Linked DNA regions of Daphnia pulex. Each later gene encodes a partner of the first gene's protein in a complex. Links are inferred from orthologs where the notes say so. Each region holds a gene or a part of one and is shown in the gene's direction. Other genes may lie near its edges.

Region 1 (3,836 bases):
GTCAAAGATCATTCTCGTTCTTAATCGGAAGGCATTTTGAAGTACTAATTAATAAAGAATTATTGTTAAAAAAACCGATAAGAATGTGATGTATCATTTTAAAATAAAAATATACCTTGTAACGGGTTCTGTATGTCAAATCGAGCTCAGTATTTAATCCATTTCGAAACGAAAAGGTGTTTTGGTAGTAGTTTCATCTCCATTTTTGTTTTATATGACCTTCTGGAGCGAGGAGAGTTTAGTTAGCAAATAATCGCATGCGAATGCACCAGATAATGTTTTAATGAGAATCAGTTTGAGAAAATTGAGGGCACATTCACGTTCGAGTGCTCGCGCTCAGCAGTGAAACAGCGAGCTTTCTAATATTTACTGATAACGAGTTTGAAAACAACGGTTTCCATTATTCTTTCTCCAATGTGCCGAAAATACCAGACAACAAAATAACAACAGCCATGAAATATTCTGTTACTCTGTGTTTAAAAAGACGACAACATTCTAAAAAAGACTACAGCATCAATGCGTGTTATGTGTCAAGTCATCGAACTTGCAGCGTGTCTACTTTGCCGCACCTCTCCTTCGCCTATTCCTGCGTGTGTATGAAAAATGTGTAGGTCATACACGAAATAGATAAACGAAACTATTGTTGGATCTATTCTTTAATTAGTACTTTTAAGTGAAGGCACGTTTGAAGTCTATAATGGGGTTCGTATAGGCTAATTGTTTGTTTGTGTTTGAAATTGAGGAAATAACTGCAGACAAACTTCACGACTTTCGTCACACGCTTGTAACAATTTGACTACTGCGACGGATGTAAAAGATTTTAGCACTTCCCAGTGAAACATGAAATCGAAATGAATCAATGAATAGAAGAAAGAACAAGCTTGTTTGTTTACCAGACGACAGGTGTTTCAGTTTAATTTCGTTTAACGGCTTCGGCAACCACTCAAATCATCTTAGATCTCAGTGAGCAGCCAATCCCCATGGACCCCATCAACCCGATAGCCTGGTTGCCGAATCCTGGTGCTTGATAATTTAAAACTTACAGAATGATTTGCATGTAAATTTTCTTCCATGGTGCTTTTTCTTTTAAAAAAGGGTAAAAAACAAAAAACATTCTGCTTAAAAAAAAATCCTTTTACTACACAGTTGAGTCAAGGTCTACCAGGTGGCGTTTAATCTGGCGGGACTGCCGGTTGTTACCATAGAAACCCTGAAGCAACTTCGTCTCGTGTTCTTCTTAAGGCGTCCACATTTTTTCTGTAAATTTGCAAGTCTTTTATAAATAACAAAATGAAGATTGAAGAAGTTAGAAGCACGGTCAAAACTCAAAGAATTTCGGCTCACAGCCACGTGAAGGGTCTCGGTTTGGATGAATCCGGCAATGCCATAAACATCGCTGCCGGCCTTGTTGGCCAAACGCAAGCCAGAGAGGTAACACACAATTTTTTTCAGTTTTCTAAGAGAAATGTACTCAACAACTGTTTGCTCTACATTTCACAGGCAGCTGGTTTGGTGGTGGATTTGATCAGGTCTAAACGTATGGCTGGAAGGGCTGTGTTGTTTGCCGGGCCACCAGGAACTGGCAAAACTGCCCTCGCCATGGCAATTGCTCAAGATTTAGGCAACAAGGTCAGTCCTGCTTTAACTGTTTACAAGTTGAAGAAATTGAAAATTAAAATTTCATATACAGGTTCCTTTTTGTCCTATGGTGGGCTCAGAAGTCTTCAGCACTGAAATCAAGAAAACTGAAGTTTTAATGGAAAACTTTCGTAGAGCTATTGGCCTTCGTATCAAGGAAACGAAAGAAGTTTATGAAGGAGAAGTCATTGAACTTACCCCAGTTGAAACTGAGAATCCTATGGGAGGTAAAAGTTAACAACTCAGTTGATTTTTATGACAAATTTTACTACCAGTTATTTGTTTTACAGGATATGGCAAAACTGTCAGTCATGTAATCATTGGACTGAAGACGGCTAAAGGAACAAAGCAGCTCAAGTTGGATCCTTCCATCTACGAATCTCTCCAGAAGGAACGTGTTGAAATTGGTGACGTCATTTACATTGAAGCCAATAGCGGAGCGGTTAAACGTCAAGGCCGATCTGATACGTTTGCCACCGAGTTCGATCTCGAAGCCGAAGAATATGTCCCTCTTCCTAAAGGCGATGTTCACAAAAAGAAAGAAATTGTCCAGGACGTCACCCTACACGATTTGGACGTGGCTAATGCCCGCCCACAGGGAGGCCAAGACATTCTTTCCATGATGGGACAGCTAATGAAGCCGAAAAAAACCGAAATCACAGGTAATATTTTCATATACTTCAAAAATGCTTACCAAGATTTAAATTTACATTTTAATTGTAGACAAGCTGAGGAGAGAAATCAACAAGGTAGTCAACAAGTACATTGACCAGGGAATTGCAGAGCTTGTACCCGGCGTGTTATTCATCGACGAAGTTCACATGCTGGTAATAGACCAATAAAAATAAAGATATTCAAAGTTAGTGATTGATTTTAATTGAATTTCAGGACATGGAATGCTTTACCTATCTCCAAAAAGCGCTGGAATCGGCTATCGCCCCCATCGTTATCTTTGCCACTAATCGAGGCATGTGCACAGTCAGGGGTACCGATGATATTGTGGCTCCACATGGTATTCCTCTTGATCTACTCGACAGACTTCTCATTCTTCGGACGATGAAGTACACCGCCGAAGAGATGGTACAAATTATCCGCATTCGTGCCAAAACAGAAGGATTGAGCATTGAAGACGATGCCCTCCAAGCTCTTGGTGAACTTGGCAATCGAACTACTCTGAGGTAAGAACAAAAATTGTAAAGCAAAAAAATGATCTTATTAAACAATCAAATGTTCTTGGTTTAGGTATGCGGTTCAGCTACTTACACCCGGCGCCCTGACAGCTAAAGTTAACGGTCGCTCTTCCATCACCAATGAAGATATAAAAGAAGTCGGAGGTCTGTTTCTCGATGCCAAATCATCAGCCAAGATCCTGACGCAAGACAAAGACAAGTACATGAAATGAGGAATCGAGTCAAATTTGCTGGTCTGTGTGTTTCTTTCCATTTTTCTTAATAAAATTATCCTCCACGAATAACCAATTCAGTTCGTCACGCTACTCCGCTTCCATTTTTCTAAACACATTTCTCATGACCAACATATTTAGCTCTGTGTACCGCTTTTCTATTCGAAACTTGGTGTCGTTGGATAGCTGCTCTCTCAAAAGTTACGGACTTTTAACTTCTTTCATCTAAAAACGGGTGTACAAAATAAAAACAGGAAGCCGTTTTGAACGATTAAAATACATTAAAATGGATCGAGCTTTACTAAAAACATTGATTGAATTCTGAACAGGGGAAAAATTTCACCTCGGATATTTTGATTTGACAACGACGCCGCGCCAAATAGCAGACGAAAAATACTTGTTAGAGATGGCGTCTTTCAATCTTTGTGAATTTTTATACACAACACACCTGCTGGATTGTTAACTCACTGGATCATAAGCTGGTTCGAATTACTGGTCTCAGAATTTCGCCAACGCCATAAATTGGTCTTCTCATAGGGGTGAATTGTTGTTGTTATCTCACGAAGGCTTTGGTGAAAAATACCAAGGGTCTGGTTGTGCATTTCCGAATTAAAACAGGTGGACGTGTGTGCCTGCGATGATGGGCCAGCACGACATTCAAGAGTTTTGTCTCAAATGGAACAATCATCACAGTACTCTGGTATCCGTCCTCGACTCTTTGCTCGTGAGAGAAAGTCTGGTAGATGTAGTCCTGGCTGCTGAAGGTCAATCCATAAAAGTACACAGATTAGTTCTT
Region 2 (2,541 bases), on another chromosome or scaffold:
ACGGACCAACCAAAATCGGCTATTTTAATTTCTCCATGAAATCCTAGTAAAAGATTTTCTGGCTTAATATCTCGGTGGATTACTTTCCGCGCGTGACAGTATATCAATGCATCAGCTAGCTGAGCCATGTAATTGGCCGTCCTAAAAATAGGGGTAAATTATTTTCCACAGAACTTATGTTTCTGTTATTTTAAAAAATTTACTGTGGTTCAGAAAAACGGCCATTGGGTTGGCGTTTCAGGTACTTGTACATTTCTCCATTTGCGGCGAATTCCAAGATGAGGTAAATACGAGTTTCATCATAAAAATATCCGTGCATGCGTAAAACATTGGGATGTCTACAGTAGAGTCGCAGAAAAGGTTGATGTGCATTAGTGATATAAATTTTCCATAAAACATGTGATCTCATTAGTATGTACCGTAAATGTGACTGGATTTCAATTTCACGTCTCAACTGGTGTTCCATCTGACATTTTTGTAGTTGAGATTTAAACAAAACCTTCAGGGCTACAATGTATTTGGTATTGATTTCTCTAGCCAAGTACACATTTCCAAACTTCCCTTTACCAAGAGGACGGCCAATTTCGAAGTTATCAAGACTCCATCTGGGTTGAAACAAACAAGCAGAGAAACACACATGATTTGGAAGATTAATGCCACAATTAAAATATTTAAGTCAAGAAGATAAATGAGAAACACTTTGTTGGATTCTGAAAAACAAAAAATTCTAACATACTTTGAGTTTTCCAACTTAACAGTAGGTTGGTTTGAAGAGTTCTCTTTAAGTGGCTGCTTGGTTTCCATGTTATCTGTCAATTTCAAAATCAAAACATGAAACATTTACAAAAACACGAAGTTCAAACTTACTTATTCACTTACATTTTCGTAAAAAACGTTTAGATTGGTCTAAATTTTCAAAATGTGTTGTAATTGTATATACCTGTATACCAATGTCTAAACTTCTAAACTCTAAAACCCTAAACCGTGGTCTACTACGGTGCTGCTGCTACTGGACGGTTTTGGACAAATGGGAAAATATTCAAACGGCAGAACAACCGGCGTTGCCGGTATGATGGTATTATGGAAATATTTTCGCCTCCTCCGTTTGTCGTTTTTCTCAGATTTTCTATAGACTTCGTCTTCGTGTCTAAGACTAATTTATTATTAAATTATTTCATTATCATTAAGACGATTATTGTTCTCGGTGCTCTGCAATCTGCAAATAGGCCTAAGTCAATTTCGACAATCGTCGATCGTCGACTTCGCTACATTCTACCGCTAGTCTCAAATAGGAACTAGGAGGGTAGGAAGTAGAATAGCCTGAAGTTTGTCTGCTGCTTAGTGCTTTTGATACGTAAAAAATGGCGACTGACGGAAGCAAAAAGCAAGCTAAAAATGCTCCGAAAAATGTTAGCAAATCGAATGAAGAAGTCATCCAAGGATTTCAAAGATTACGAACTGAACAGAGACAACTAGCTAGTAAATTATCTGAGCTCGAAATGGATCTAAACGAGCACAAGTAAGTTTTACCGGTTTCACTTTATAAACAGACTTCCATAGCGTGTAGAGGATAATTTACTCCTACTATTAACTATGTCATATTTTTTTTCTTACTCAGACTAGTAATAGAAACCCTTCAAAATGTGGATGAAGACAGGAAGTGCTTTCGCATGGTTGGTGGAGTACTAGTTGAACGAACTGTCAAAGAAGTTCTGCCTGCACTGACATCAAACAGGGACCAGGTAACTTGTTTTCATATTGTATTATTTGGTTGTAATTTTAATTACAATTTATTTTTTATATAGATGACTAAAGTAATTGAAGTTCTCAATAATCAAATTTCCACCAAGGGACAAGAAATTAATGACTTCAAGGAAAAGAATAATATCAGGATACGAAATCAAAATGAACTCCCATCTACAGCTCCTGATAATGAAGGAGAAAATAAAGTTGCCAATCAGGGGGTTTTGGTGGGCACCAAACCTTAACTGATATACCTTGTTTTGTATGCTCTGCTGCTGAAGAAAAATCAGAAAACATATGTTTTGCTTTTGCTTATTTTTATGAATCTAATACTTTCATCTGCTCTACTATCCTAATGGAAGGTTAGAGTACTAAACAATCTGTGTGATTTACCAAGAAAGCTTTTAAGAAGCTTAGCTATTCTAACTTTTGATGTATTTATGAATTACTAGCAGGAATTATTCTATTAGATTTCTATTGAATGCACAATAACTTAGTTTATCTCTGGTTTCTCCGAAGAGCGACAACGCTATAAAATCATATGGATTTGAGATCACACCGGATTTTAAACCAATAATTTTTGCTGCTGCGAACTGTTTAGTTTGTGTGTAATATTTGAAAAGTCAAAAGTGTTCCCCACAAAATTGCTTTGGCGCAGTTCTCCGTAAAATTTGTTTTACAGATAAGTAAACAATGGTGATCAAAATATTTAATTTATTTTCTAGGTGAAAAGTTGGTCTAGACAGTCTACTTATGCAGTATACACCAAAACGATTCGACGACGATGTGTGGGAATTG
Region 3 (2,279 bases), about 3.3 Mb from region 1:
ATGAAGTCCAAAAGCTAGATTTTGCAAAGAGTATTCATGACCACAGTAAACACGAGTATCATCAGGAAGAGCGCCGAGGACATTGATCAATGCATGATACATTTGATCAGCCGTTCCTTCGAAAAACCTACCACATCCTCCTTGAAAGAGAGTATCACCTAATATTGAAGAAACAATATTGAAAATATTTACTCATTTAACCACTAGAATATTTTCAAAGTTTTACTCACCAGTGAATACTGCTGATTGTCCATTGACACTGCTTGAGGGCAAATAATAACAAATATGCCCAGAAGTGTGGCATGGTGTAAATAGACATTGAATTTCTAGGTTTCCAACCTGAAGTTTATCTCCATGAGAAACCTTCTTATTCAACGCTCCAATACGGTTATCTCCACCATATACTGCAAGCCCAGGAACAAGTTTTACTAATTCTTCATTGCCACCTGCATGATCCCTGTCATTAAAAACAAAATCCCAAACATTTAAATTAAAAATTTACTATACTAATGATAAAACAAACCAATGATGATGAGTAGTAAGAACAGTGGTCAATTTCACATTTTCCTGATTTACAATTTCAACCACTTTGCTAGGGTTTACTGGGTCTACAATTGCAGCTTCATTTGAGCTCTCATCCACCAACTATAGTTTAAGTATGAAATGTATTTTACATGTGATAAGCCGAATCCAAAAAGTTTGCATACCAAATACATGTAGTTATCTTGCAAAGCTGGAATGATATGGACTTTCATCTTTGAGTCAATACAAGTTTTGAGCTGGCTGTGACTTCTTGAACCAAGGGCTCTCCAAGCAGAAACTACAAAGAATAATTTTTAAGAAAATGTTCAATTTGTTGACAAAATAATGTTCAAATAAAAACTGTAGACGTACAGCGAAAATATGCCGCAGTTAACGCTTGCAAACACGATTCAGGTAGAAGACGAACTAGAGTATTCATCTGTTTTGTTGTTTTTGAGCCACTTGCCGATAGCTCTTTCTCACAGAGCAGTCGACAGACAGTGTTAACACGTTAAACACTGAAATTGCGCTTGATTGATTAATGATTATCAGTTTTGAATCAAACTCTAATATTCAAGATATCATGCAGAACAGTTACAATAAAATAAAAGGTAACAAAATTACTGAAGACAGAGAAACAATACAAAATTTGGTTCTTTTGATTTTGTTCGTCAATTTTGGCAATGGGGCAAATGAATAGCAGACGATACAACAGCAAACAAGAACAATCTCTTCAAACTTTCAAACTAAACAAAAAGATTGTGCCATGGATTTCGAAAAGACACAACAGTTGATACTTCAAACTGAAGCTGCTGCCCAAGAGATTTTTATCACCAGAGACGAGATAGTAGCATTGGATTTCAAGCGCCAAAAAACACGGGAAGCTTTTCGGGCTTTGAAAAATGGCTTGGAACCTAGTGAAAAGGCATGGGTGTCGATTGGAAACATATTCGTAAAAATAAGGACGTCCAAGGCGCAAAACTTGTTGGAACGAGGTATTTAAAATTAGCATTTAAATTTCAACAAAATTAATTCAAATTGTCGCCTTTCTCCTGCAGAGTTAAAAGAGGTTGATCAAGAGATATCTGAACATCGCAACAAGCTTAAAGAACAAGTGAAACATTTGAGAGATCTTGAAGGGAAACCAGAACTGAAAGGGTTTGATTTAAAACCAATATCTAAAGAAGCTGAGATTATAATGCAAGCACTTTCTAAGTGAAGTCTGAATATCATCAATAAATTATTTTCTGTGATTAATAATTTCTCTTATATCCTCTGAGTTTTCCTCTCCATTTTGGTTACCTTGTTCGAGATATAATGTTGATGACACATTTTGAATTAGGCATAATTGAGACACCATGTCAGGATCCAAATAATTCATGAACTTTGGAACAGTTGCTTTCATCCCATTCAAAGTTTGGAGGGCTTCATTGTGCATTTGGTGATCAACATAAAGTTGGAAAATAGCAGAGTAAACATTTCCTGGTTTCAAAATGCCTAAATCCATGCTAGATGATTGTAAGATACTTTCAAACTGAGAAATTCCTTGTAGGTTTGTGGCAGACATTTTTCTGATGTTAATGAACTGCTCCAGAAAAGCCATTTTCATATAAAGTGCTTTAGATCTTGTTGATTGACTACTTTCAGGAGTTTTGGACATAATTTTGTGCGCTTCTTTCAATGCGTTCATTGCGTTGTCGTAGCTTTGGTATTCATCAACCTCGGCCTAATAATAAGAACACATTGCCGTATCTATT
Region 4 (3,892 bases), on another chromosome or scaffold:
ATTTTCTTTTTGTTTAAATTCAATTTTTGTTTAAATAATGTCATCATTACAATTATTATAGACCAAAGTGTGTGTGGTTCGTGTTGGAGTTTTGGAACTGTAGGAACTCTTGAAGGAGCCCTCTTCCTCAAAACGGGTAAACTGACTCCACTCTCACAACAGGTAAATTAACATCAAATATTTTGTTTCAATGAAATTAATGATGGGAATATGTTTGTTTTAGGCTCTTGTTGATTGCAGTTGGGGTTTTGGCAATAACGGTTGCGACGGTATGTTATTTCATTTGAATATATTTTCACTTTTTCTTCTAAAGTTGTTCTTTGTTTTAAATTTTACCATTTCTTCGCATAATTGTTCGTCAATTAAAGGTGGTGAAGATTTCCGAGTATACCAGTGGATGATGAAGCACGGAGGTATTCCTTCAGAGGAGAGTTATGGACCTTACTTGGGTGCTGATGGTTATTGCCATGTAGACAATGCGACTCTCGTAGCCTCCATTAAAGGCTATGTTAATGTAACATCAGGAGACGTCGATGCGTTGCGTGTTGCCATCTTTAAGTATGGCCCAATCTCCGTTGCTATCGGTAATAAAACGCGGAGGAGTTGTAGTGAAGTCAGGTGGTAATAATTTTCTTTATCGAAACTATTAAAATAGATGCTGCGCATCGTGCATTTTCTTTTTACGCCAACGGAGTTTACTACAATCCTGAATGCGGTAATAATTTTTAAAATCTCGTAATAATATCATGCAATTACCTTTTCTAAAAGAATACTTTCTTTCTTTGAAATCTGTGGCACCATCACACTCATCCTTGAATTACTTTTTTAAACTGTAGGCAGCGGAGAAGACAGCTTGGACCACGCTGTTTTAGCTGTAGGGTATGGAATTCTAAAAGGCGAGCCATACTGGTTGGTAAAAAATTCGTGGTCGACTTATTGGGGAAATTCTGGGTATGTTTTGATGTCACAAAAAGAAAATAATTGTGGCGTCGCGACTTCACCTACTTATGTGATCATGTGAGATTCCAAACATTAAATTTTGTGTTTGCTCCCATCATGAGTAGAAATCTATAGAAAAGCTTGGGAAAAAACAGTAAACATGGATCTCTACGTCTGAGTTTGAATAAAATTGATTGTGGCTATCAAATATTTGTCAGCTGCTATTAAAAAAAAAAAATGTGCTTCGATTTTTTTTTCTTTTTAAAAATTGCATTTTGGCGTTCTGACGTTCTTTTAATGAAACGTGCACCAACGCTAGGTCACGTGACGTAGCAACTAGCAAGTTGTAGCGTCTGCTTTGAACAAAAATGGGTCCCAAAGCTCAACAGAAGCCAGCAACAGAATTCAAATTTAAAGAAGGTTTGTTTTATTAGTCAAATATATCTTTGGATAACTAAATTTAAACGATTAAACAAAATAATAGGGGAACGAGTTCTTTGTTTTCACGGTCCGCTTTTATATGAAGCCAAAAGCCTCAAAGCAGAATTCAAGGATCAACAGAACAAATACTTGATACATTATGCTGGCTGGAATAAAAAGTAAAATCAAAGTGAAATTTATATTGATGAAACTTCCATAACATTTTCCTCTGCTGTTTATACAGTTGGGATGAGTGGGTGCCTGAAAACCGTGTGCTGAAGTACAATGACCAAGCTCTTCAAAAACAGAAAGAACTCCTCAAAGCTCATGAAGCTACATCGTAACTATTGACTTTCATCAACGACTAAGGCTGATTGATCATCTTATTTGGTTTTTCAATTTCTTTGGAACAGGAAAGGAAAGAAACAAATCAAAGGTGTTTCTACCCCTGTTGGCAAACCTCCAGGCCGAAGATCAGAATCATCTAAAGGTGGAGGCAACCTGTCAGATGCTAATACATCAGGCAAAGAAACAGATAGTAGATCTTCTACACCATCACTTCAAGGTACCTTGTCAAAAGTGGTACACATGATGCCATTGTCAGACTATTTGTCTTTCCTTGAAATCAGTCAAGATCAGTGTTACGAAAAATAACATAAAAATTGCTTATATTCCAACAGAAAAACCCACCAAAAGACCTGCCACAGCCTCTACGACAACAACACCTTCTACCACCACTGCTGGTACAGCATCATCTTCTGAAAGCTCAAGAAAGAAGACCAGACCTGACTCTACTGTTGAATCAGTGAGATTTCACATACACTTTCTAAATCTTTTCAACAATGTAGCATTAAAAAACCATTTACTTATAGGAAGAACAGTTTTTATCCAAGGTTGAAGTGAAAATAAAGATTCCAGATGAGTTGAAACCCTGGCTTGTTGATGACTGGGACTATATTAACCGCCAGAAAAAAGTACGTGATTTGAAACGTTAAAGATATTATCTTTCCAGCAATATTTCACTGAGTCACCAAAAACTCATTTCATCCAATTACGCAACAGTTGGCGAACTTACCATCCAAAGTGCCCGTTGACACCATTCTAGAAGATTACATCAAGCACAAAAGCAGCAACCGGACGACCACCCCAAGCAAGTATGTCGCAATTCCGCTGTTACTGCTAGCAAAATGAATACCAATAGCATACATACATTGTGTGTATTTGCTAAACCAAGTGGAGAAACTTTTTTTTTATTTATTTCTTTCCTTTAATTCCTCCATTTTTAGAGAGAGTGCCATTCAGGAGGTCATGGCCGGCTTGAAAGAATATTTCAATGTAACGCTCGGTTCTTCGTTGCTGTATAAATTTGAGAGATTACAATATGCTGATGTAAGTCATGAAGTGAAATTCACAGTGATATACTATACGTTCATACGTTGATTCTTTATATGGCTATAGATTTTGAAGAATCACCCTGACAAAATGATGAGCCAAATTTATGGAGCCCCCCATCTTTTACGCATGTTCAGTAAGTTTCAATTGATTTCAAACCACCATTTAACATATTTAAAATAAACATTATCGTACAGCCCGGCTAGGAAGTATGCTGGCGTATACCCCACTTGATGAAAAGTCGATCCAACTGCTCCACGTTCACCTCCAAGATTTTTTAAAGTAAGTCTGAAAACGAAAGAAACATTTTATTTAAAGACGTTGATTTACATCGGCAGCTGTGATCACGACAGATACATGGGACGCAACGCTTCGACGCTGTTCAGTGCTCAGGATTATGGCAACGCATCGGCTGAATATCACCGCCGCGCTTGCTGAAATACCACGTCAGTGTATCTTTTTTCATTTTTTTTTCGTCGGAAATATTTTTTTCTTTCCAATGTCTCACACATATAAACGAGCCGATTTGAAATCTGGTAAACTTTAAAAATAAAGAAAGAAAAAAGTTTTTTTTTTTAAGCCTCATGTGTAACACAGTGACTTGCCATCGTGTAAACGTAATACATTCAATTGTTACGCGGTTTTTTTTACGGTTCTGCGAATTCTACCGATGACGCCAATCTCTTTGACCCAGCTGGTCTGTTTTTAGACAAGCAATTAATTGTCCTGTTTGTCGGATAGGGAGTCGAGAACAATCGTCGTGTATTATTTCCTTCATTGGGCTCGACATCCGCTCGGAATGGAGTGTGTGTCTAGAGATTTTCGGCTAGATTTTGGTAGTGATCCTCTCTCAAATTGGCATAGACAAAACTCGTGTGTGCAGTGAAAGTGGGCTTTTGAGATGGGAACAACACATCGTCACGGTCCAACTATGTGTACCCCGTCTTCCTCGCTCAGTATTTACTATCTGCTGGTCATTTAAACCCAAACATTGAAATGATAGCCGAGCTGTTCGTGACCGAGAAGAGAAAACAAAACGCTCGTGAGATGAGTGTGTCGTGTAGATTTTTGGGTCTTTGCGTCTATCTTTTTTCATTTTTCGGTGACTGGGCGGATGCAGCGAAGACGAGGGTGATAATAC
Region 5 (3,515 bases), about 2.5 Mb from region 1:
TGACTGTTACCAATAATGGACACACAGGTAAGAGGATACACGAATAAAATTATTATTGTTGTTTTATGTTTTTATATATTGTGGCTTGCGCAGTGTTGTTTAGCCTTCCCTCGAGCATTCCGGCAGAGTCTATACCCTTTATTACCGGCGGCGGATTATCAAATCGATACAATTTCGTTCAATTTCACTTTCACTGGGGAAATGATTCATCGCACGGCAGCGAGCATCGAATCAAATCTAAAAAGTGCACATTTAATTTAATTTTTTAAATTATTGTGGAAATTATGATTATTTTTAAATTATTTTTAAAGATATTCGGCTGAACTTCACTTGGTTCACTATAATACCAAATACGGATCGTTCTCCGAAGCGACGAAATATGATGACGGTCTAGCCGTTTTGGGTGTTCTCATTAAGGTTTGTTAATTTAGCTAATCTTCTTAATATTATTCGAGTTATTCTAAAACAAATGTCAAAGGTAGGGAAAAAGATTAATTCAGCATTCCGAGCTGTCGTTGATCAGTTGAATGAAGTTGACGAAGACGGTGACGAAACGACACTGGTAAATCTGATTTCATTTAAAGATTTATTACCGTCTCGAACCACCACATTCTTCCGCTATTCCGGTTCTTTTACAACGCCCGGATGTGAGGAAATTATTATCTGGACTGTTTTTGATGATTCCATCACTATCTCCGAGAGCCAGGTAGAGATTCCTTCATGTTTAAAGTATTTTTGTTTTAATACTATTATCCAAAAAAAAAAATTACAGCTATCGAAATTTAGACTTTTAAAAGGAAGAGATAGTTTAACTTTGGTAAATAATTACCGGCCCGTTCAGTCGTTGAGCGGACGCACCGTCACATATAGATCTCGTTCCGGATGTCATATTACGATAAACTGGTCTCATTCTTCCTCACCTATCGTCGACATCTATCAATATAGCACATGCGTATTTTCTTTTTATGCAAATTCTTTCCTAACCATTTTAGGTGTAAATTTATAACAGTGACGCATTATTTCATTTTTCTAAACTGCATAAATATTAATGAAGCTAAATAAATCGAAAATCTACTTGATTCATTGATTGTCGACCCGAAATTCTAAACTGCATAAATATTAATGAAGCTAAATAAATCGAAAATCTACTTGATTCATTGATTGTCGACCCGAAATGAACGAATTAAATAAAACTGGGACAACTTCACTAAATTGCGCATTTGCTCATTTGTTATTATTGTTTTTCGTTTTTCGACGCAGCGTTTGAAAGGTTTTTTTCTTATTTTACTCCAAAACTAATAATGTATGTTTTGATTTAGTAAAAAGTTATTGTAACAGCTTAATATTGATACAAAATGCATTTCCTTCTCTCCCACTAGCATCAACAATGGCTGCAAAGCACATTTTTGTGTTGGATAATGGAGGATTCAACATCAAAGCCGGTTTTGCAAATAATGCAGAACCCCGGTAAATATAACAAAGATTCATAATGTTTTCGTTTAGTATAAACCATATCCACCCTCAATAGTGTCATGCCAAATGCAGTAATGAAAGCAAAAAGTGAAAGAAGGAGGCCTTTCATCGGTGACCAGCTTGATGAATGTCGGGATGTTTCTGGTCTCTACTATATACTCCCTGTTCAAAAAGTATGCAACTTAATTACTTCACAATTTATAAAAATGAATTTACTATATCTTTTTAATTTAGGGCTATCTAATTAATTGGGACACTCAGAAAGATGTTTGGGATTACTTGATGGGAAAAGACTGCTTTAATGTTCACATCAATTCAACTTCACTTGTTTTGACTCAGCCATATCTAAATTTCCAGTCTATTCAGGAAGGAATATGTGAATATTGGTTTGAAGAAGTGGAGTGTGAATCTCTCCTGACAATTAACCGTGAGTTTTTGTCTCTGGTTAATTAATTTAATCTTTTCCTCATGGAATTTTAATGTTATTACAGCTGGAACTTTGAGTGCCTACAAATATGGAAAAGAGAACCCTTCTGAATTGTGCTGCTTGGTGGTAGACTGTGGTTACAGTTTCACACACTTAATCCCTTATGTACAAGGAAAGAAAATCACAGAATTTGTTCATAGGATTGAAATTGGCGGCAAGGTATTAACCAATCATCTGAAAGACATAATTTCCTATAGGTAACCTTCACACACAAGTTATAAATAAATAACAAGTTTTTAAAATAGTATGTTTTAATTGCCATTTACAGGCAATTGAACGTCATGGATGAAACGTACGTTATCAACCAGTTGAAAGAAGACACTTGCATTGTATCCACAGATTTTAATAGCGATATGGCGTTGTCTCAAAAGAGAGGAAAAGACAATCCGTTCGTTGTAGACTACATCCTTCCTGATTTTACAACCATTCGTAGAGGCTATGTGCGACCAAAGGACGAAGCAGGGTCCGGCGAACAGGTCTGAAATTTTTTGCTGATGCCAGACGTTTTTGTTCAAATGTTATAATACATTACACTTTTCGTCTTGCTAGGTTATCAGGATGAATAACGAACGTTTCGCTGTCCCAGAACTGTTGTTTCATCCATCTGACATTGGAATCCAGCAAATGGGAATATCCGAAGCCATTGTTCACGTGATTGAACAATTTCCTTCCGAAGTTCAAAGCCATTTGTACAAAAATATTTTGCTGATCGGCGGATCTTGTTCTTTGCTCAACTTCAAAGAAAGGGTTGAAAAAGATGTTAGGACGATGGCTCCGGCCGAGTGCGAAGTCCGTATCAACATGGCATCCAAGTAAAATACAATATTTTACCATTCATTTATTTGAATCGACATTAACCATCACCCAATATCTCATCTTTCAACTCCTTATAGTCCAGTCACAGATGCCTGGCGAGGAGGATGTAGCTTAACTAAAGATCCTCAATTTTCTTCTCAGTTGGTAACACGTCGAGAATATGAAGAACATGGATTTTCTTTATGTCTTCAACGTTTTGATGTATGAGTTTTTCAACAATAAAATGTATTTCTTTTTTTTCATCTTTTTTCGTCTTTTTTTCATGTTTATTTTATTTTTTTCAATTATTTTATTTTTTTTAAAGTTTTTGGTTTTTATTATTTAACTGTTGCAAAATATTACCACTAGGTTTGAAAAAGATGCCTCAGGCTCTTTCAACCCGGCTGACATTGCACAAATCAGTGTGAAAAACAGCTGAGTGGAAGAATGTGCTGGTGAAACTGCGTCACGGTATTTATTGAGACGTTTTATCTCAAAAGAGTGTTGCTATCGTGAGAGAATAAAATAGCGGTTGCTTGTAATCAAGTGTCTACTGCGGTTTTGAAAAATTCACAAAACATATATCCCACTCTACTTGAAAACGTTCCAGTGCTGGCAGCCTGGCACGTGTTGATTCTCGTCGAGTGAGCAGCTAGCCGGTAGGGAATATCTCGATAACAAGCAAACACATTTTTGGTAAGTTGAGAATCACGACTTTTTAGTAGTTCTTGTTTATACATGTCTTTTAGAATATTGAGAA
Region 6 (4,146 bases), on another chromosome or scaffold:
CTGTCGAAATGGAGGACAAGTACAGATATTTCGATAAACGAATCTGGTATGAGGTATAATGAAGATAATTTAACTTAACTTAATCTTTGATTTTAATATAAACATTTCCCTCACTAGATATTTCCCTCACTAATGGAAATCACACCAGCGGCAGGCTACCAATTCGATTCACTGCTACGTGCGAAAATTTCTCTGTAAGCCTGAATGGTTAAATTCAATCTCTAAAAGGTTCTAAATACAAAATTGGACTCAAATCTACTGAGTGTTGTTAAAGATGGAACGAAATTTTTTCGTAAAAAGAAGGTGACGTCCGAACTCCGAAGACACGGATTTTTTAAGAAGGTTTTTTCGGACTTTCGGAGCCCAATTTAGATCGCTTTTCAGACGGCTCTTTCACATAGACACATGAGTTGAGTCAAAGACAAGACAAAGTCAAAGCACACATGTCACTTTTAATTAGTTTTCATGTTATTTATTTCAAATATTTCAATATTTACAAATTACCCGAAGGGTTACTGGTCAAAGTTTCGTTTGCAGTATGGTTTACATGGGCACCCTCAGTTCTCGTAACACTACATAGATGGATGCACTAGTTTTTGGCAATTATTGATTGTAATCAACAATTTTATTGCATTTCAATGGCAGTAATCGGTAGCTTACAATTTTTTACATCTATTCTGAAAATTTGGCTGCAATCAATTCAGGCATTTGATCAAACGGAGTTCTGGTTACTTTTTGACAGAATTTCAATAGCTGTTACAGCAGACGATAATACAGAGACATGTGACAGGGATATAAACGTAACGTGACAATCGACTACTATTGTATGATAGAATAGAAGTCACTGTATGTTATCACCGAACGCTATCAATCTCCAGTAACAGAAGTGCTGATAGGTAGTTACTTAAATTTAATTTTAACAAGATCCGGTGTGACGTGGGGTGGCGGGGCGAAGCCTCCGCCGCACCAAAGTCACGCGGAAATATTCTTTTAATCTCTTTCTCGATTTATGCTTATTACAATCTTCCGGAAACTAAGGGCATAAATTTTTTTTAAATGTTATTAATCCATCTTAATAATAGGCCTACCTTTATAACAGAATATTTTTATTATTCTATAACTATTCTATAGCTCTGTCTTTGTAAAACTATACCAATACTACTATACCAACTAGAATACCCTTAACATTCCCTTCGGGTACCTTGCGGCGTACGTACGCTGCCTACAGTATAACTAGGACTGGCAGTAGGCGGCAGTAGGCTAACACTAGACCAAGTGAGCACAACTCCTAGTGACCAAATTGCTCGCTAGAGGGAATCTGCAGACATTCACTCGCTCGCGTCATCACATTAGATTCCTGTAGATCAACTGCAGAAAAGAAGCAGTGATCCAAGCCATCCGTCAAAAGCGTATAAGAAAAAGAAAATTTCTCAAAACTTAAATAAATTTTATTGTCGATTTCAATCAATTTGTACCAAAATGTTGTACTTAGAAGATTATTTGGAAAGTATGATGAGTGTTTCAAGTGATGATAAAGTTCCCTGATTAAAATTTTTAAATTACCATCTCCCCATTGTAGTGATAGAGCATTTGCCCCAAGAACTGAGGGATCGATTTACTGAAATGCGCGAAATGGATTTACAAGTTCAAAGTAACTCTCGAATAAGTTGTAGAAAATGTAATAGGGATGTTCGGCGTGTCGGGCCGTTTACTTACAGTTTCCAAGTTGAATAAATTAGACACGAACAAAACCGTGTCTTTTACCTCTCGTCTATTTTAACACACTGAATATTGTACAGTAAATTGGGGGGGAATAAACAATAGGGGGGTAGGGAAACAACGACTGAATTTGGGGACCAACGACTGAATTTGGGGCCACCTATCGGGGGCCCCCAAGGCAATAGTCGCGTAGGTGCGCCGGTGTTGTTGTGCGGCGCCCTGATCTCGTCGTCGTCTGTTGGAATGGAATATTCCTAACACACTCCCCACCAGAGCCCGTAGCATCCGGCTCGACATCTTCGACGACGTCTTCCGGTTCTTCGGGAGCTGGCATAGCGTCTCCGATAGCGAGATCGATTTCTGGTTCTGGCAGAGTTGGATTTGGATCCTCTTCCGGCTCCTGGATCGGTTCCGGATTTCCAATTTCGACGTCTTCGGCGAGATCTTCTCGCAGCTCTATAGGGTGAAGACATTGAATGGCTCTATTAATTAAATTACCATTTGGAATCTTGAGCATGACAGAACGGATGAGTCCGTCGCGGCTTGGAATCAGTTCCTTCACTACTCCGGTAGACCACATGAGTCGTTTGGAGTGTTCGTCGTGGATAACAACGACTTCTCCTAGGCGGATCTTCCTTCCGGATTTTCCTTTGGAGTGGAAGTTGTCTAGTTGGAGTAGATAATCGTCGACGAATCTAGCACAGATGTCAGCGACATATTCCCTCCTGTTCTTGTCCATCTCTTGTAGTACGATGCTGGTCGATGTAGGATCCAGCAAGTTAACGGCTGGCTCCGGATCGGCACGAGTAGAACGTCTGTTGTTTAGAAATTGGTTAGGAGTTATCGGAAGTGGATCGTCAGCTCCTTCCCCAATATAGCTGAGTGGGCGGGCGTTGATTACGCTCTCGATTTCTGCTAAACTCGCTTCCAGTTCCATGTAGTCAAGGCAGGCTCGACCGTTGGAGCGTCGCAGCAGATCCTTGACGCTCCTCACCATCCGTTCCCAGAATCCTCCCCACCATGGCGCTAGGCTGGCGGAAAATATCCAAAGGGTTTTTCTGGACGCGAGAAAGTCTTGAATGATGGGATCGGCGTGAATAGTTCTCAGGAATCGGTCGACACATCGGAACGTTTGCGCGTTGTCCGAATACATCACTGAGACGGGTCCTCGTCTAGCTGCGAATTTTCGAAAGGCTAGTAAGAAGGAACGCGCCGTCATATCGGGTAGTAGTTCCAAGTGAACCGCTCGAGTGACTGCACACGTAAAAAGACAAACATAACTTTTAAGATGGTTCGTTTTCTTAGCTTTAGTTGTTGTTATTAAGATGTCTTGGATTTCGACATCTTCTTCGACTGAATCCTCTTCGCCTACGATTAGAGCTTCGATTGGAGCGTCTCCTTCAGCGGGTGGCTCCTCGATTCGCTCTTCAGTTGGATCGTCTGCTGGCGTCGGATCCTGGACGCTTGGTGGAGCTTTCCTTTTCTTCCTTCGCTGTGCTGGTTTGTACAGCAGTGGTCCAGCGAAATCGACTCCTGTAACGTGAAAAGATTGCGCATGTTTGAGTCGGTTTAAAGGAAGAGGGGCTGCTAGTTCTTGCTGTCGTCCTTTAACTATCCAGAATTTTTCTTTTAACTCGGATAGTGTTACTTTTGCTCCTGCATGTAGTAGTGACTCGTGTTTGTCTGTAATTAAGAAAGTGATTACTATATGTGATGCAGGAAGCAAAATTGGGGGATCGATGTTTCTATCTCTTAGGGCAAGTGATACTCTCCCATGGATTCGAACGAGACGGTCTCTGGCGTCCCAGATTGGAAAAAGTGCAGCGATTTTCTCCTTGGGCTGGATTGTGTTGTCTAACTGTAGCGATTCAAACGCCTTAGGATACCGCTCTCGTTGGAGCTGTCTGTAGATCGTTAGTTCCGCTTCATCCAGCTCCTCTCTGGATAATCTTGTAATCCGGATAACTTTTCCACTTCCTTTTCCATCTGGTCCAATTGCCTTTATCGACTCCATTCGTTCTGGACCGGGAGGTCTGAGCTTCTTTTGACTCCTGCTGAGGAATCGTGAGACCCAGGCTGTACGTCTTAACAGTCGATTCCAGGTGGAAATTTTGTCGAGATTCCAGTCGACGGAGGCTGTTGGAATTGCGATGGCTGCTGTTGTGCTGACCGTCGTACTCCTAGCTTCCGATTCCATTTCGGACTGGATTGTTTGTGGAATTTGGTCGTTGGGAGAATCTGGCCATTCCGTTTCTTCTCCTTTGAGCCAAATCGGGCCGTTCCACCAAAGAGTTGAGGTTACCAGCGTTGGCGCTGGCGCTCCCCGCGAGGCAAGATCGGCCGGATTTTGGAGACCTGGACAGTGTCTCCACCACTCGGGTTGTGAAAATTTTCGTATCGTCTCCACTTGGTTTCGGACGAATGGTT
Region 7 (2,663 bases), on another chromosome or scaffold:
GACAGCGGTGCAGCGGGCGTATGCAACGGGTGTCAAGTTAAATGTCCCTAATGGATCGTTAGCTAGGCCATCTGCTCCACATTGACATACAATTGCTTCCGGACGAAAACGTTTCATTACTTCCTGGAAAACTCTTTTGTCACAGATGAATGAATGATGATGAACCACATTGTAGGTTTTAAGGAGACAAAAGAAAATTTATACGTTTGAAAGACGTGGATGAAAGTTTCATCGCAAGCCCCATCTCTGAGTGGAACATTGCATGAATAGTTGCGACCCCTGCCGAAACCAGTGTCGTTGACTGAACCTGTACCCGGAAAATATCCTTCTTCATGTTTATGTAACGATAGCGTAAACACTTTGCGGCTGTAAGCGAAAGCATTTTCAACTCCGTCTCCTTAAATAAATAAAAATGGGTTTGTATCAATCCTTGTATACATTTACACTGAAAAAGGGTTGGACTTACCGTGGTGAATATCCAAGTCAATATAAAGTACGAGTTTGAATTTTCTTTCCAATTCTAGGATGGCAAGAACACCTGAAAATCCAATAGTTTTACCTTGTGTTTTCATTATAAAAATATTAAATTATTGTACAGTCATTGATGTAGCAGAATCCTGATGCACAATCTCTCTGAGCGTGATGCCAGCCTCCACAGAAATTTACTGCCACATCAACAGATCCAGAAACAAGTGCTTTGGCTCCTGCTACAGATCCACCAGCTATCACAGAGATAAAGTCATCAAGCTTGTCAAGTGGGGGGCAGTCAAATCCTTGATTAGATTTTAATGTGATAAATTAACATTTCCATTACATGTTTCCATATTCATATTACCTAAACCATATTCCTCACTGGATTCATCCTCTACATCCACATCACCTTTGAGGAATTCAATGTAATCGGCAGAATGAAATCCTTGAAAGACGTCATCATTAACTTTATCACAGTTTAAAAGCAAGACATGATCTAAGAGTCCATAAGATTCCAGCAAATGATGAACTAATGAGGCCTGAAAAGAAACAAAGCAAAAGTGAGATCAAAATACGTTATATGTACTATTGAAAGTTAGTTGTACATAATGCTTAAGTATGTCAAAATTTAACTGTGACATTTTTTAGTGGTGAATGGAAAAAAAATGTTACCCTGTTCTTCAGGTTTGGTACTCTATTACATTGATGAATTAATTCCGGTGAATATACATAGCCAATTTTAGATTTAGGGGGACATTTTATGATTTTTTCCTCGTTATCATCACAGCTCTTTTTTTCGTCCGGCAGTATACCCGCCATTTGAATAACGTTGTCTGCACCGCCACGTTCACTAGCGACATGGCGGACAATAAAGAAACCCGAAATTAAATGGCCGCCAGCATCGCCTGAACAACAAAAGAAAAGGGCGAAATTTTGGCTTGTAAAATGACTAAAAATACATCCAGCTCCGATTTACGATCTGAACTTTCTGACCTCGTCAAACGAAGAATCGAAGTCGCCGTAAGAATGAATTCAAATTTAACCTTAAAAACTGCCTACTTCATTGTTTATATTTGTGTTTTGTAGGAAACCCTAGCCAACTTGGAAAGACAAATTTATGCATTCGAAGGTAGTTACCTGGAAGATACACAGCTTTACGGAAATATTATTCGAGGATGGGACCGTTATTTAAACAGTACTAGCAAACTGTCAAACCCTTCATCTGACAAAAGGAACAGGAAATTCAAGGAAAATGAAAGACTTTTCTCCAAGTCTTCAATTACTTCTATGGCGGTAGAATTGCATGACACTTCTACTGAATTAACAGAAATAAAATTTCTTTCAAACCTAGGCTGTGAGCGGGATCATTGATCTGAATTCTGAGAGAGCAGAACGAAGCAGTGAAACTGAATCACAAGCAGGAATGAGTGGAAGTGACGAAAACAGCAGAGATTTTCTCGGTTTAGAGGGGGTCAATGGTGATAAGTTAGGAAAAGTTTCAAAATCCAGACATATAAATAAAAGAGGGAGCAAGAAGTCAAAACTGAAATAATTTCATATTCACTGTTCATTTTCCTATTCTCTATAACATGGTTTCGTGAATGCCCTTATGAATGTACCTTCCTAAGTGTTAAACAAACTTTATGTCTGTGTGTCAATTTTCTGGTTTTCTGAATAAATGCTCGAATTAAACATTCCAATGTTCTCGCAATTCATTTTCCGATTCAGACTTATTACGTAAATATGTTTCATCCTTCTATCGCCAGATGGATTTGAAAGCTCATTTGCTCCTCCCCCTCTCTTCCTTCTCTTGTTGTCACATGATCAGATGATTCTTGTCAAAATTCGGTAACCACACACTAAACCCTCTTACGAACCCTATTCGTTTGTATTGTATTATTCAGATCCAGTTTTAATCACACAATGTCGGGAAAAGACAAAATTGCCATTTTTCCTTCTCGAGGGTATGTCATATTTATCTTTAAGACGATTCAGTTGTAATTTAGAACATATTAGAGCTCAATAACAACTTTCAAGTTTTTGGTTTAATTCCTTTCTCTTGACACAATCAGAGCACAGACTTTGATGAAACATCGGCTTGCCGGTGCACAGAAAGGCCATGGTCTTCTTAAAAAGAAGGCAGATGCTCTTCAAATGAGGTTCCGCTCAATCCTGAAAAAGATCATTGATGT

Evidence for each region.
Region 2: ruvB-like helicase 1 (region 1) and prefoldin subunit 2-like share a complex: the UniProt entries of both Homo sapiens proteins name them as parts of the PAQosome complex. The link is inferred for Daphnia pulex from reciprocal best matches to the Homo sapiens genes RUVBL1 and PFDN2.
Region 3: ruvB-like helicase 1 (region 1) and p53 and DNA damage-regulated protein 1-like share a complex: the UniProt entries of both Homo sapiens proteins name them as parts of the PAQosome complex. The link is inferred for Daphnia pulex from reciprocal best matches to the Homo sapiens genes RUVBL1 and PDRG1.
Region 4: ruvB-like helicase 1 (region 1) and mortality factor 4-like protein 1 share a complex: the UniProt entries of both Homo sapiens proteins name them as parts of the nuA4 histone acetyltransferase complex. The link is inferred for Daphnia pulex from reciprocal best matches to the Homo sapiens genes RUVBL1 and MORF4L1.
Region 5: the proteins of ruvB-like helicase 1 (region 1) and actin-related protein 6-like are in contact, whole or in part, in a cryo-EM structure (PDB 6IGM), measured with the Homo sapiens proteins. The link is inferred for Daphnia pulex from reciprocal best matches to the Homo sapiens genes RUVBL1 and ACTR6. Residues at the interface, in NP_003698.1 of Homo sapiens: Lys162, Thr163, Ala164, Lys165, Gly166, Thr167, Tyr209; in NP_071941.1 of Homo sapiens: Tyr217, Tyr300, Arg338, Cys339, Leu340, Thr341, Pro342, Thr343.
Region 6: ruvB-like helicase 1 (region 1) and inhibitor of growth protein 3-like share a complex: the UniProt entries of both Homo sapiens proteins name them as parts of the SWR1-like complex. The link is inferred for Daphnia pulex from reciprocal best matches to the Homo sapiens genes RUVBL1 and ING3.
Region 7: ruvB-like helicase 1 (region 1) and chromatin modification-related protein MEAF6-like share a complex: the UniProt entries of both Homo sapiens proteins name them as parts of the nuA4 histone acetyltransferase complex. The link is inferred for Daphnia pulex from reciprocal best matches to the Homo sapiens genes RUVBL1 and MEAF6.

The regions. Positions count from the first base shown.
Region 1 is NC_060023.1:12,188,576-12,192,411, reverse strand, and holds ruvB-like helicase 1, read left to right. Parts: upstream 1-1,158; 5' UTR 1,159-1,290; coding exon 1,291-1,431; intron 1,432-1,500; coding exon 1,501-1,629; intron 1,630-1,690; coding exon 1,691-1,865; intron 1,866-1,928; coding exon 1,929-2,300; intron 2,301-2,361; coding exon 2,362-2,465; intron 2,466-2,526; coding exon 2,527-2,816; intron 2,817-2,880; coding exon 2,881-3,040; 3' UTR 3,041-3,336; downstream 3,337-3,836. Other genes in the region: longitudinals lacking protein, isoforms A/B/D/L-like, read left to right, coding at 3,678-3,836. UniProt on the Homo sapiens protein: Possesses single-stranded DNA-stimulated ATPase and ATP-dependent DNA helicase (3' to 5') activity; hexamerization is thought to be critical for ATP hydrolysis and adjacent subunits in the ring-like structure contribute to the ATPase activity.
Region 2 is NC_060024.1:9,271,865-9,274,405, reverse strand, and holds prefoldin subunit 2-like, read left to right. Parts: upstream 1-1,274; 5' UTR 1,275-1,361; coding exon 1,362-1,519; intron 1,520-1,618; coding exon 1,619-1,742; intron 1,743-1,805; coding exon 1,806-1,988; 3' UTR 1,989-2,041; downstream 2,042-2,541. Other genes in the region: aurora kinase-like, read right to left, coding at 1-141, 204-338, 420-605, 737-804. UniProt on the Homo sapiens protein: Binds specifically to cytosolic chaperonin (c-CPN) and transfers target proteins to it. Binds to nascent polypeptide chain and promotes folding in an environment in which there are many competing pathways for nonnative proteins.
Region 3 is NC_060023.1:8,880,313-8,882,591, forward strand, and holds p53 and DNA damage-regulated protein 1-like, read left to right. Parts: upstream 1-1,288; coding exon 1,289-1,517; exon of another isoform or gene 1,518-1,580; coding exon 1,581-1,741; 3' UTR 1,742-1,762; downstream 1,763-2,279. Other genes in the region: hydroxyacylglutathione hydrolase, mitochondrial-like, read right to left, coding at 1-158, 231-457, 524-645, 708-820, 895-961; intraflagellar transport protein 140 homolog, read right to left, coding at 1,763-2,248. UniProt on the Homo sapiens protein: May play a role in chaperone-mediated protein folding.
Region 4 is NC_060018.1:5,689,381-5,693,272, forward strand, and holds mortality factor 4-like protein 1, read left to right. Parts: upstream 1-1,215; 5' UTR 1,216-1,307; coding exon 1,308-1,359; intron 1,360-1,423; coding exon 1,424-1,538; intron 1,539-1,603; coding exon 1,604-1,699; intron 1,700-1,772; coding exon 1,773-1,924; intron 1,925-2,039; coding exon 2,040-2,164; intron 2,165-2,231; coding exon 2,232-2,333; intron 2,334-2,421; coding exon 2,422-2,513; intron 2,514-2,645; coding exon 2,646-2,748; intron 2,749-2,817; coding exon 2,818-2,887; intron 2,888-2,948; coding exon 2,949-3,033; intron 3,034-3,104; coding exon 3,105-3,189; 3' UTR 3,190-3,392; downstream 3,393-3,892. Other genes in the region: digestive cysteine proteinase 1-like, read left to right, coding at 62-162, 224-269, 369-584, 656-715, 837-1,021. UniProt on the Homo sapiens protein: Component of the NuA4 histone acetyltransferase (HAT) complex which is involved in transcriptional activation of select genes principally by acetylation of nucleosomal histones H4 and H2A.
Region 5 is NC_060023.1:9,663,279-9,666,793, reverse strand, and holds actin-related protein 6-like, read left to right. Parts: upstream 1-1,211; 5' UTR 1,212-1,270; exon of another isoform or gene 1,271-1,303; intron 1,304-1,379; 5' UTR 1,380-1,387; coding exon 1,388-1,467; intron 1,468-1,528; coding exon 1,529-1,646; intron 1,647-1,707; coding exon 1,708-1,900; intron 1,901-1,964; coding exon 1,965-2,157; intron 2,158-2,228; coding exon 2,229-2,436; intron 2,437-2,509; coding exon 2,510-2,772; intron 2,773-2,853; coding exon 2,854-2,983; 3' UTR 2,984-3,015; downstream 3,016-3,515. Other genes in the region: carbonic anhydrase 2-like, read left to right, coding at 1-27, 94-244, 312-417, 479-706, 773-1,006. UniProt on the Homo sapiens protein: Required for formation and/or maintenance of proper nucleolar structure and function. Plays a dual role in the regulation of ribosomal DNA (rDNA) transcription.
Region 6 is NC_060019.1:7,721,594-7,725,739, reverse strand, and holds the start of inhibitor of growth protein 3-like, read left to right. Parts: upstream 1-1,346; 5' UTR 1,347-1,479; coding exon 1,480-1,507; intron 1,508-1,579; coding exon 1,580-1,651; intron 1,652-4,146. Other genes in the region: uncharacterized protein LOC124190484, read left to right, coding at 1-37. UniProt on the Homo sapiens protein: Component of the NuA4 histone acetyltransferase (HAT) complex which is involved in transcriptional activation of select genes principally by acetylation of nucleosomal histones H4 and H2A.
Region 7 is NC_060026.1:14,091,069-14,093,731, reverse strand, and holds chromatin modification-related protein MEAF6-like, read left to right. Parts: upstream 1-1,348; 5' UTR 1,349-1,416; coding exon 1,417-1,491; intron 1,492-1,557; coding exon 1,558-1,764; intron 1,765-1,822; coding exon 1,823-2,023; 3' UTR 2,024-2,163; downstream 2,164-2,663. Other genes in the region: histone deacetylase 8-like, read right to left, coding at 1-133, 205-397, 467-538, 597-773, 836-1,010, 1,144-1,290; V-type proton ATPase subunit D-like, read left to right, coding at 2,395-2,435, 2,544-2,661.